Linked DNA regions of Schizosaccharomyces pombe. The protein of the gene in region 2 interacts with the protein of the main gene of each other region in a biochemical or structural test. Each region holds a gene or a part of one and is shown on either strand. Other genes may lie near its edges.

Region 1 (4,560 bases), on a different chromosome or scaffold from region 2:
TGATGAAGAGAGTGAATCTGCGGATGAAGCATCTCGTCAACTAGTTTGGCAGGCCATTGAAAATAACGAAATATTTCTTGATCCTCATACATTGCGTCCGAATGTTGACTTCGCTGATCATGAGCCTGTTTCTATAGAACTTGCTAGACTTAAGGATTTCCATATTGCACTTACTGGTGATGTGTTTCGCTGGTTAGTTGATTATGCTCCTCTAAATGTTTTTCACCATATTTTACTGAAAGCACAGATTTTTGCTCGGATGTCACCATCGGAAAAGAATGAGCTTGTCTCGTGTTTCCAAAATTTGAACTATTGTGTCGGATTTTGTGGAGATGGCGCGAATGATTGTGGTGCTTTGAAAGCAGCCGATGTAGGAATATCTCTTTCTGAAGCAGAAGCGTCAGTTGCTGCTCCATTCACTAGTAAATGGTTTGAGATTACCTGTGTACTTGACGTAATTAAAGATGGGCGAGCTGCTCTAGTCACAAGCTTTAGCTGTTTCCAATATATGGCTTTGTATTCTGCAATTCAATTTATCACTGTCAGTATATTGTACACAACAAATTCAAATCTTGGAGACTTCCAGTTTTTGTTTATTGATCTTGTCATTATTCTTCCCATTGCGGTTTTCATGGGGAGATCTCGACCTTATCATCGTTTGGCCCACAAAAGACCTACCGCTAATTTGGTTTCCAAACGTATTTTATCTCCTCTAATCGGTCAAATCGTCCTTATTTGTATAATTCAATATATAACCTTAAGGATAGTACGGAGAGAGCCCTGGTATATACCACCACCTGCGAATAGCTCAGATACGAATATTACAAATAGCGATGTAACTGCTCTGTTTTTAATTTCTTGCTTCCAATATATTTTTATTGGAGTGGTTTTGAGCATAGGACCTCCTTACAGAGAAAAAGTTTGGAGGAACTATTCATTTACAGCTGTCGTTGTTGTTTTGTTGATCCTGACCGTTAAGTTAATACGACTTCAAAATCATAAAAACTTTTTTATGAAACTTTTCCAACTTACGCCTACGTCCAAAAGTTTCCAGAACTTTTTGATCTTCGCTGGTGTTATTTATTATTTACTCGCAGCCAGCGGTCAAAATTACATTTTCATTTCTATGACCAATTTTATATCTCACCTGAATAATCGTTTACTTAATCGCCGAACGAAAGTTTCGAAGAAACTATACAAACGCCTATTCGCAGACTTGCAAAATGAACAAGTTTGAGATATATTATCCCCCTTTTGTTGTTCAATAGATTTTTTTTGCTGTTATGTATAATATTAATAGTTACTATCCTTTTTACTTTATCATGGTCAAACAAAACATTTAATCTCTGGTGTTATAGAAATGTAGTCTGATTTATAACAGTAGTTTTGATGTATTTACAAGGCGACGAAGATCATTTGTTTTAAATTATACAAAAGCTGAAAAAAAGAGAGCAGTCAATTACCATATGACTCTGTATTGTAAAGAATATTGCAAAAAACAGATGAAGCGTAGAAGGATGGAAAAGTGAGTTTGGGTTTTTTTCTATGGCCAACTTTACTCCAGATCCCTAGGAGAAACCTGAACATGATCACGACCCCAAATGACACGAGAAGGGCTCCATATTTGAAGGATATTATCATCGGCAAGACTTCCAACCACCCAACGCTCGTTTGGACACCAACTAAATTCTGAGATGCGATTTGTGTGGCCTCCATGCATAAATAGTAATTCTGGAGAACCATCCTCGGCATCCTCCGGAGTCTGTTCCTCTCCAATCTTTTCTAAATCCCAAATACAAACACGGCGATCAGTTGAACTGGATGCCAATATAGGTTCATCATGAGGTGACCATTCTAACCCATATACCTCATCTTCGTGTCCTTCCAGGGTATGCAACCGTTGATATGGATTACGGAGGTCCCAAAGAGCTACTGTTTTATCAGCACTGGCTGTTGCTAAAAGATAGTCATTAAAGGGATTAATGGCAACGGCATTTATGGCTTTAGAATGAGCCTGAATAACTTTGGGAGCTTCTTCTTCTGGATTTAACCGAGTATCGTGAATTTGCAAAGTGCAATCATCCGACACCGATGCTAATAATGCCTCATGTTGAGGATGAAATTGAACATCGTTAACAATATCAGTATGACGATGATATTTGGCTATGGGGGAAATGACTTTTGTCTCAGAGGAAGTAAAAGATTGTGTCTGAACATCCCATAAACAGATAACTTGATCCTCTGCTCCTGTTGCTAGATTTCCAGGTAAATTCGGGTTCCAGCAAAGACCAAAACCTTCAGCAGTATGGCCCTTCAAAACTGCTTGAGGAAGTGCTTCACCTGTAGTTAAGGCATCATGACAAGTTGTATCAAAAATATAAGCATTTCCTCCTTCTCCCATGGTAGCGATGATTTCAGGCTTTTGAGGCATGTAACGAGCACGATTGACATCGCCATCGTGAGGGATTTTTTGTGAAATTTCAATCGTATACGAGCCCGTGGCCTGTGCTCTTCGAATCGTAGAAGGAGTAAACTCGGTGGTATCCTCATCAAAGTTTGGTAATTGCACAGAAGCAATCTGTAAATAATTTTGATCATTACCAGATGTGTGAGTGCCAAGAATAAGACGTTGAATAGAGTAATCAGTACCTGGTATTCTTCAAGAATCGAGTTAGAAAACTGATGAGATGGTTTGAAGTAAAGGCCAGTATAATCATAGCCTAACTACTTTGGCAAGCAACGTACGTTTTTTTGTCAGGAAGCCATTGAATTGTCAAAGAAGGCCATTCCAAAGCGTGGGTTATTACCAAGTCATACAGAAAGGGAACATTTTGTTTCCAAAGTTTGTATTCTGAAACGAGTATAATCGTCAGTAATTACGGCATAATAATATATATTAATGAAGAATTCCCTTTAATCATACCTTCTTGTATTGTTTTTTGTAAGTCTATCTCGGCATTGAGTTCATTATTCTCGAGAGGTGCATCCTGGACTACTTCCTCTGACATGTTTTGGGCAACTACACAATGGCCCAAACTAGATTGCCAAGTTAAAAGTTTTGGAGTTATAAGTAATTTACATTATTTAAAGATGCCCAAATAAATCTAGCGCACTCTTAAGTCTGAAATAAAAAAAAAATAAAATAAAATTCATGAACAGCGATATAGAAAACAAGTTTCAATGAGCGAAAACAAATTTGAACATGCCTCTAAAAACCATTACTTGATGCCACGTCTCCATGAAAACAGACATTCATAGTGAGAAGAATTCCTCAAACATCGTCTTTATCATGCTCTAATAATTATAAAACCATTTGGCAAAAACAAATATTATAATCTCAGTATACTTTGATAAACAGATTGTCATTATATTTACACTAAAAATAAAACTATTGAACCCAGCCATCAATGGGATATTTATACTGTTGGCTCTACGAATTGTTTTACAGTACACCGTAAATTTATTAAACAAATCATGTAGTATTGCAAACTTTGGGTACGTATCTAAACTAATCAAATATAAACTTTTTTTAATTAAAAATGTCTGGGAGACAATCCCATCCTTGACCCATGGAAAAAAGTCAACGACCGGGAAAGCCACTCAATTCTTCGCTGAAGACGGAACGGATGCATTTTCTTGGTCCGGAGACTCCAACCATCATACTTGACTTCAGGATTGATTTTACTTTACTTATATAACAAAGTAAGTTAAAACCTACTGATGATGGTGAATCATCAACTGAACAGACCCTATATATAGTAAATTTGTTGTGACGGTTTTTACCTTAGGTTAGGGTATTAGAAACGATGTTCTGGAGACTAAGTAAAATTTCATATGTAAACAATGGCTGAAAAGAGAAACTTGTGAAATGACTATGAGTTTTGGCTGATTTTAATTTATATGATTAGCTAGCTTTAATAGCACGTAGTCAGACTTTTGGGTACTTGTCGTGGAAACTTTAACATGCTAACTTGATAAATTATTCGATAACAGTACAATTCAAATCGTGTCTCTTATTTCTTTTAACCTCATCATAGCAATTTACTGATTTTAATTTAAAATATTTATTAAATATAGTTGTGAATTAAAAAAAAAAAATTCCCAGATGAGTACTTTCTTTCTAATGTTATTTATTTTGATATACTGAGGAATTTGTATACCGCATTGCCTTAAAATGCATGCCAACAGTGGTCTAGCTCGTTATTCGTCTCGACTTTTTTTTGGAATAATGCTTGCGTTTGCTAAGTATTTTGAGGAGGCAATTAATATCAGTATATCAATTATAAGAGAGGAATTTAGTATAATTGGAGTATATTTGCACGTTTTGAGTTGTTGATCGTAATCTTATTACTTCAGATGTTTTCATAGCGACTTCTGGTACCCATTGTATATTTATAATTATTGTAACAGTTTTTAACATTGCATTCTTTTTTTTTCTTGCTAAAGTAAATTCATCAAAATTTAGAGGTATTTCTATGAAAGATCTATCCATATCATGTAAATTTTTGTGTTGCCTACATAATCGAGCATCCAAACCTTGGTTGTCGGATACACCTTAAT
Region 2 (5,209 bases):
CCAAAAATCTATAGATATGTTAGTGTTCGCACAATCAATGGAATACATTCAAAAAAACATACGCAGGATCATTTTGAATTCCAGATTTTTTAAATATCTCCGTGATAGTTTCAGCTAACTGCTTGAATTCCGGATCACGAGTAATCTTTAGGATAGTAAGAGGTGACGGTTTTGAACCAGCTTCAAGGCCGTATTTCTCAAAAAACTGACGAAGACGGCCAACCTTTTGAGCAAGTTCCGGATCATTAACAACTAATGAACTCATTTTCTCTTCAAGTTTCTGGACTTGCTCATCCATTACTGGATCCTTGAAAATAGTGTCGTCAGGTTGCGTAGTCGCACTTCTCTTCCATGTTAATATACTAGGAAACCTATTCCTATACAGAAGAGCATTGTTGTATGTAAGAGGCCTTCTGATAGTCAGCTGAGACAAATACTTCCAATATTTCATATTTGTAAGGTGGTGGTTAATTTTGTGTTCTAAAGAAGTATGAGGGATTAGGGAATGTGTCGCTCAGATAAGCTTGCTGCGGCAAATTAATACAAACTCTAAACGAAATGAAATCTTTGTTTTGGATACGTATTATTCACTCATAATTCTAAAATTTTGACTGGCAATATAATACTTTGATTCTTCCTGTTGTAGAACTATATTGTCTCTTAAAGGAAGTTAGTAGAGGATCTTAGTACAAGAAGGTAAATACAATAAAAACTGACATACGAAAATACATGAGGTTTTTTTCCATCGAAACGTATTGTTCCTGAAACAACAATTATGATATTCATATCATTACCCATGACCTGTTGACTATCGAAATCCTCAACTTTAGTTTTGGAGTATGGAAGATTAACTATCATAGAGGTAAATTCGGTTACTTGCATGGGTTTTCCATTCCATAAGATCAAACTATTTTCTCTGTAAAATTCTGCGATCCCATTTCTGTTCGTATCAAGAGATGAGTAATACCGTTGGACGAACTCCTGCGCATCTTTAATTGTTAGTTTATAGATAAAGCTTTAGTAATGCGGCATTTAACATACATTTTACACTCGACTCCATAATGATTCACAATGACAGAAATTTGTAGTGGTGTAAGTAGTCATTTAAACAGGTACATGTGTTATAAATTGAAATATTGTACTCATTAAGCGATATTTAAAGATAATCTTTGTTCAACACACTGAATGGATATTTCGGCTAGATATCTTTATGACTACGATTTTTACTTATAACATGAAGAGTGGAGAACAATTATGTGTACTCATTTGCCATACTACAAAAGCATAGATCACGTAAAAACTCAACGAATGATTAATATATTAGTAAAAAAATATATATTCGAATGTAACATGATAACTCGAAAGACAATTTGTTGTAAATGAAAACAAAAAATAAATATATGTTCGAAGAAATAGGTCATTAAAAGCCATGGTATGGCAAGCGAAGAAGATGGGAGAATAAGTGGTTTAAAGCTGAATCAACATTTTTTTGACTCAGAAATGCATTGGAAACAAAATGCTTTTTTACAAGTGCTGGAAGAATGAGGGTTCTGAGTGCTACTTCCTGAGAACGAAGTTTGTTGACTTAAAGGTTGAAAACCAAGATTAAAATGATGGGTAGAAAGATTAGGTCGAGGGGATATCATTGAAATTAATGAAATAAAGTTTCTTCGTTTTGTAGAATTGGAGTTTCGGACTTTTGACTTAGAAAAAGATCTACGTAAAGGAGTTTTAGGAGATGATAATAAAGGGTTCCTTCTTCTCGGTGAAGATAAAGTATCAGAGATGACGTGCAAAATCTCATTTTGTTCTATGCTTTTATGCTTGATTGTATCCAAACCACGCTGATCTGTTAATGTTCCTGATGAGTTTGGCAACAGACAAGATTTTTTTTCCAAAGCTGAAGCATCAACTTTTCTTGTTTTATCATTGATTTTTAGTCTCACGCATGACTGAGAGGGTATAGTTTCATTACAAACATTTTCCACAAAAAGTGAAGCTAAAGGAACTTCATCTGCAAACACACAATCTGACACCATTTCATCACGAAGTGATAGATTTTTAAATTTATAGATCTGGGGAGACTGAAAATCCTCTATATGGACTGGTGAAACAGCTTTTTCCCCTGGGTTGCCAATGCTTGAGTCTAATTTTTTTTCGTATCCATTTGACGCTGAGATTTCAAGGTTGTTAAATGTAGGATCCCATATATCATCTTTTGTTTTTAAAGCTTCTAGATGTCCATTATTAACAATAATTTCACCAGTTGCAAGATCTACTTCATCAGCTATATCAGAAGTGTCGCGTCCATATTTTTTGAAAAGAGATTCCAAAAAGTCGTTGTACTTCTTTTCGGACTCAATTCTTTTACAAAACACATCATCACAAGCCGTAGGATTAGTATTAAATTCGACAGACTGAAAAGACAACAGATGTGGACAAGAATAGTTTGGAGGCAGGTCAACGGCTTTCGGTTGACGATTGCACATGATTGAAAGTTAAAATCATTTGGTATTGAGAAATTTTGTTCAAAAAATCCTTTCCAATAAATTTCTTAAGGCAAAAATTGGAGATTTTCAGTTATTAGTAGGAAAGCGATTTCAGTAGTGGTTTATTAGTGAACGGTGCCATAACTGTAGACTTGTATTAGAGTTTCGTAACTAATTCACGAATGACTTTTAGATTTAATTTCTGTTAGAACTTAGAGATCAAAAAAAAAAGATAATGAAAAGTTCTTTTGAATAGTTTATGCAAAAGTGTAATTTCAATGATGGTCGCTTAACGCTTGTAAATTAACTCATTGCTCCAAAAGACTGATTTATCTGTTCTTGCACTAATTCTATACTGTTTAAGAATTTCTAAAATACATAAAATTAATAGACATACAATTTTGTAATAATAACGAACGCTGCGATACCTTGTGGATTCCAACGAACATAGCAATTCCACATTACTTTTTTAATGATAAAATGAGAAATCAACGATACCTAAAATAAAGAAAATAAGGATACTCGTTTTGGTGAATATTACTTTGCATCATTTGCACAATTTAATAAAAAAATCCCATAAGTTGAGCATTCCATTTGTCACATCGCCCCAAAGAAGCGTGACGATTCTTTGGCTTTCTTTCACAAATAATTCGTATTAGTTGAAAGCGTTCTGTTCGACAAGTTTAGCCATATTTTGATTGTTCATTCATGTAAATATGAGGATACGTAGCGCAGCTCCTCAATAGAATTCTTTTAGAAAGTGTCTATTGTACCAACTAGTAACTATTATCAATTCCATTACAACATAGAATTGGAGAAATCATCGCTAAATAATTAGAACAAAGGATGAATTGATCTCGGCATTGTTTGCATTCTTACTAAGTGCCAAGTGAAACAGACAATAGCGAGAACAATAGAAATGTTAAACAAAACGACAGAACAATTTGGACACGATAGGGAACGTATTGTAAAATAAACTATTTTTGGCTCTTTGTGACTTAGTCTCATGAACACAGTCTTCTATAACTTGAAGCAAAACCGAGTCGTTTCATGTTTCAGTTTCTTACGGTATGCTTGTTTTGAACAATTTCTTTACCGAAGCATTCACATGAAAAGAATTACTACACCATATGGAATATGACAATAGGAATTACTCATTCCCCTCCAACAATAAACGTACCCGTTACCTGAATAGCACAGCATGCCGATGAAACAAAGGAAGTTGAGTACAGCGCAACTCTTTCAACTACTCCATAATTGCACTTTCTTTAAAACACTACACCATTGTTTGAGCATTGTATAGTTCAAATACTCGAATTTCTTTGTATTCCTTCACCATGGATCCTAAGTATAAAAAACCGCATAGAGCTCCATATTTGTCATTACATTTGAAGGTTTCGTAAAGCAAGCTGAATAAGAAACTGCAATCAGAAAAAAAAGAAGGGAACGACGAAGACTTTGTTTTAGTACTAGTATTGCAATTGACAAATAGGTTCAGCAAGGAATTTTGATCACTTAACTCGATTTTTTTGAAACCTCTCTGATTTTGCCATTCGCTCGTCTACTTATTCCTCATTACCTTTTGACACTCTTTTGCTTTTTCATTTTTTAGTTTTTTTCAGACTAGTAGAATTTTGAAATAACTTCTCATTGCATTGCATCGCATTTCTCAATTTTTTATCTATCTTTTGATTTGAGTCTTGCTTCTTTTTAATACTTTCTTTTCTTCTTCTTTGAAAAACATTATTAATTATAATTTTTCTTTTATCGCTTGATCTTCCCATAATTCGTCATGTCGATTGCTTTGGCTTTCTTTATTCTCGTTTTGCTAGGATTTTCCTGGGCATCCCCATCTGCACTTGATGACACTTTTAACGTCAGTCGGTCAGTAGGTTTAATTTCATCTTCTAATTTAGAATCTTGCCAATCAAGCCCTCTCGAAGTTGGCAATATCTATAACTCAACCTCTGCTTCTGAGATTCTAAGTACCTTAGATGCCAAGTACATTACTATAATTGGTGTTATCGGGTCTTCCAACTCCTCCATTCAAGACTTAATTGACTCTGTTGGCAATTCTAATAATGCAGCTTCTTCCAATCCTACTTCCACCGTTACGGAATACGTTGACAGAGTTCAAACTGTTACAGAATATGTTACGTTGTCTTGTGGTCAAGCTTTCACTTCTACAGTAGACATTTCTTCTAGTACTAGTTCATCTGTTATCAACTCACCTACTGGTACGGCTGTTAGCTCTCAAATTTCCACATTATCCATGAGCCCTTCATCAACACCCGTATTTTCTCCATCAGCTAGCGTTTCATCGAAAGTAGCTAGTTCTGTTAGTTATGTTTCCAGTGAACCCAGTGACTCATCTTCATCCACAAATACAGTGATTTTGACTACATCTGTTAATTCCCCTGCTGTTAGCAGTTCGGAAACACTTACTTCTGTAAGTATCACTTCTACCGAATCGGCATATACTTCTTCATCCGTAGACATTGCAGCTTCAACTACTGCTTCGAGTACACTTCCTGTTAGTACTTCAGAAGCTACTGTTTCCTTTTCTACTGATATCCCCGCAACACCCTCCACTTTGTCTTCTCCAGCTTCAAGCTCGTCCAGCTATTTAGTGGAAACATCTTCCACTCTTACTGATAGTGTGTTTACTACTGTAACCGCTACAAGTGATTCTAGTGTTATCACCTACACGTTAATCAACT

What was found.
Region 1: the proteins of scm3 (region 2) and mis16 form a complex in vitro, tested with the Schizosaccharomyces pombe proteins (one study listed by BioGRID).

What each region holds. Positions count from the first base shown.
Region 1 is NC_003421.2:582,583-587,142, reverse strand, and holds mis16 (histone H4 chaperone, CENP-A recruiting complex CENP-A chaperone Mis16), read right to left. Parts: upstream 3,018-4,560; 5' UTR 3,009-3,017; coding exon 2,924-3,008; intron 2,852-2,923; coding exon 2,746-2,851; intron 2,674-2,745; exon of another isoform or gene 2,658-2,673; coding exon 1,556-2,657; 3' UTR 1,250-1,555; downstream 1-1,249. Other genes in the region: SPOM_SPCC1672.11C (P-type ATPase P5 type), read left to right, coding at 1-1,237. UniProt on the Schizosaccharomyces pombe protein: Regulatory subunit of the histone acetylase B (HAT-B) complex. The complex acetylates 'Lys-12' of histone H4 which is required for telomeric silencing.
Region 2 is NC_003424.3:1,859,214-1,864,422, reverse strand, and holds scm3 (CENP-A histone chaperone Scm3), read right to left. Parts: upstream 2,617-5,209; 5' UTR 2,490-2,616; coding exon 1,479-2,489; 3' UTR 1,291-1,478; downstream 1-1,290. Other genes in the region: protein dpc13, read right to left, coding at 1-8, 63-451; mRNA export receptor Nxt1, read right to left, coding at 661-989, 1,042-1,060; cell surface adhesion protein for conjugation Mam3, read left to right, coding at 4,282-5,209. UniProt on the Schizosaccharomyces pombe protein: Centromeric protein that plays a central role in the incorporation and maintenance of histone H3-like variant CENPA at centromeres.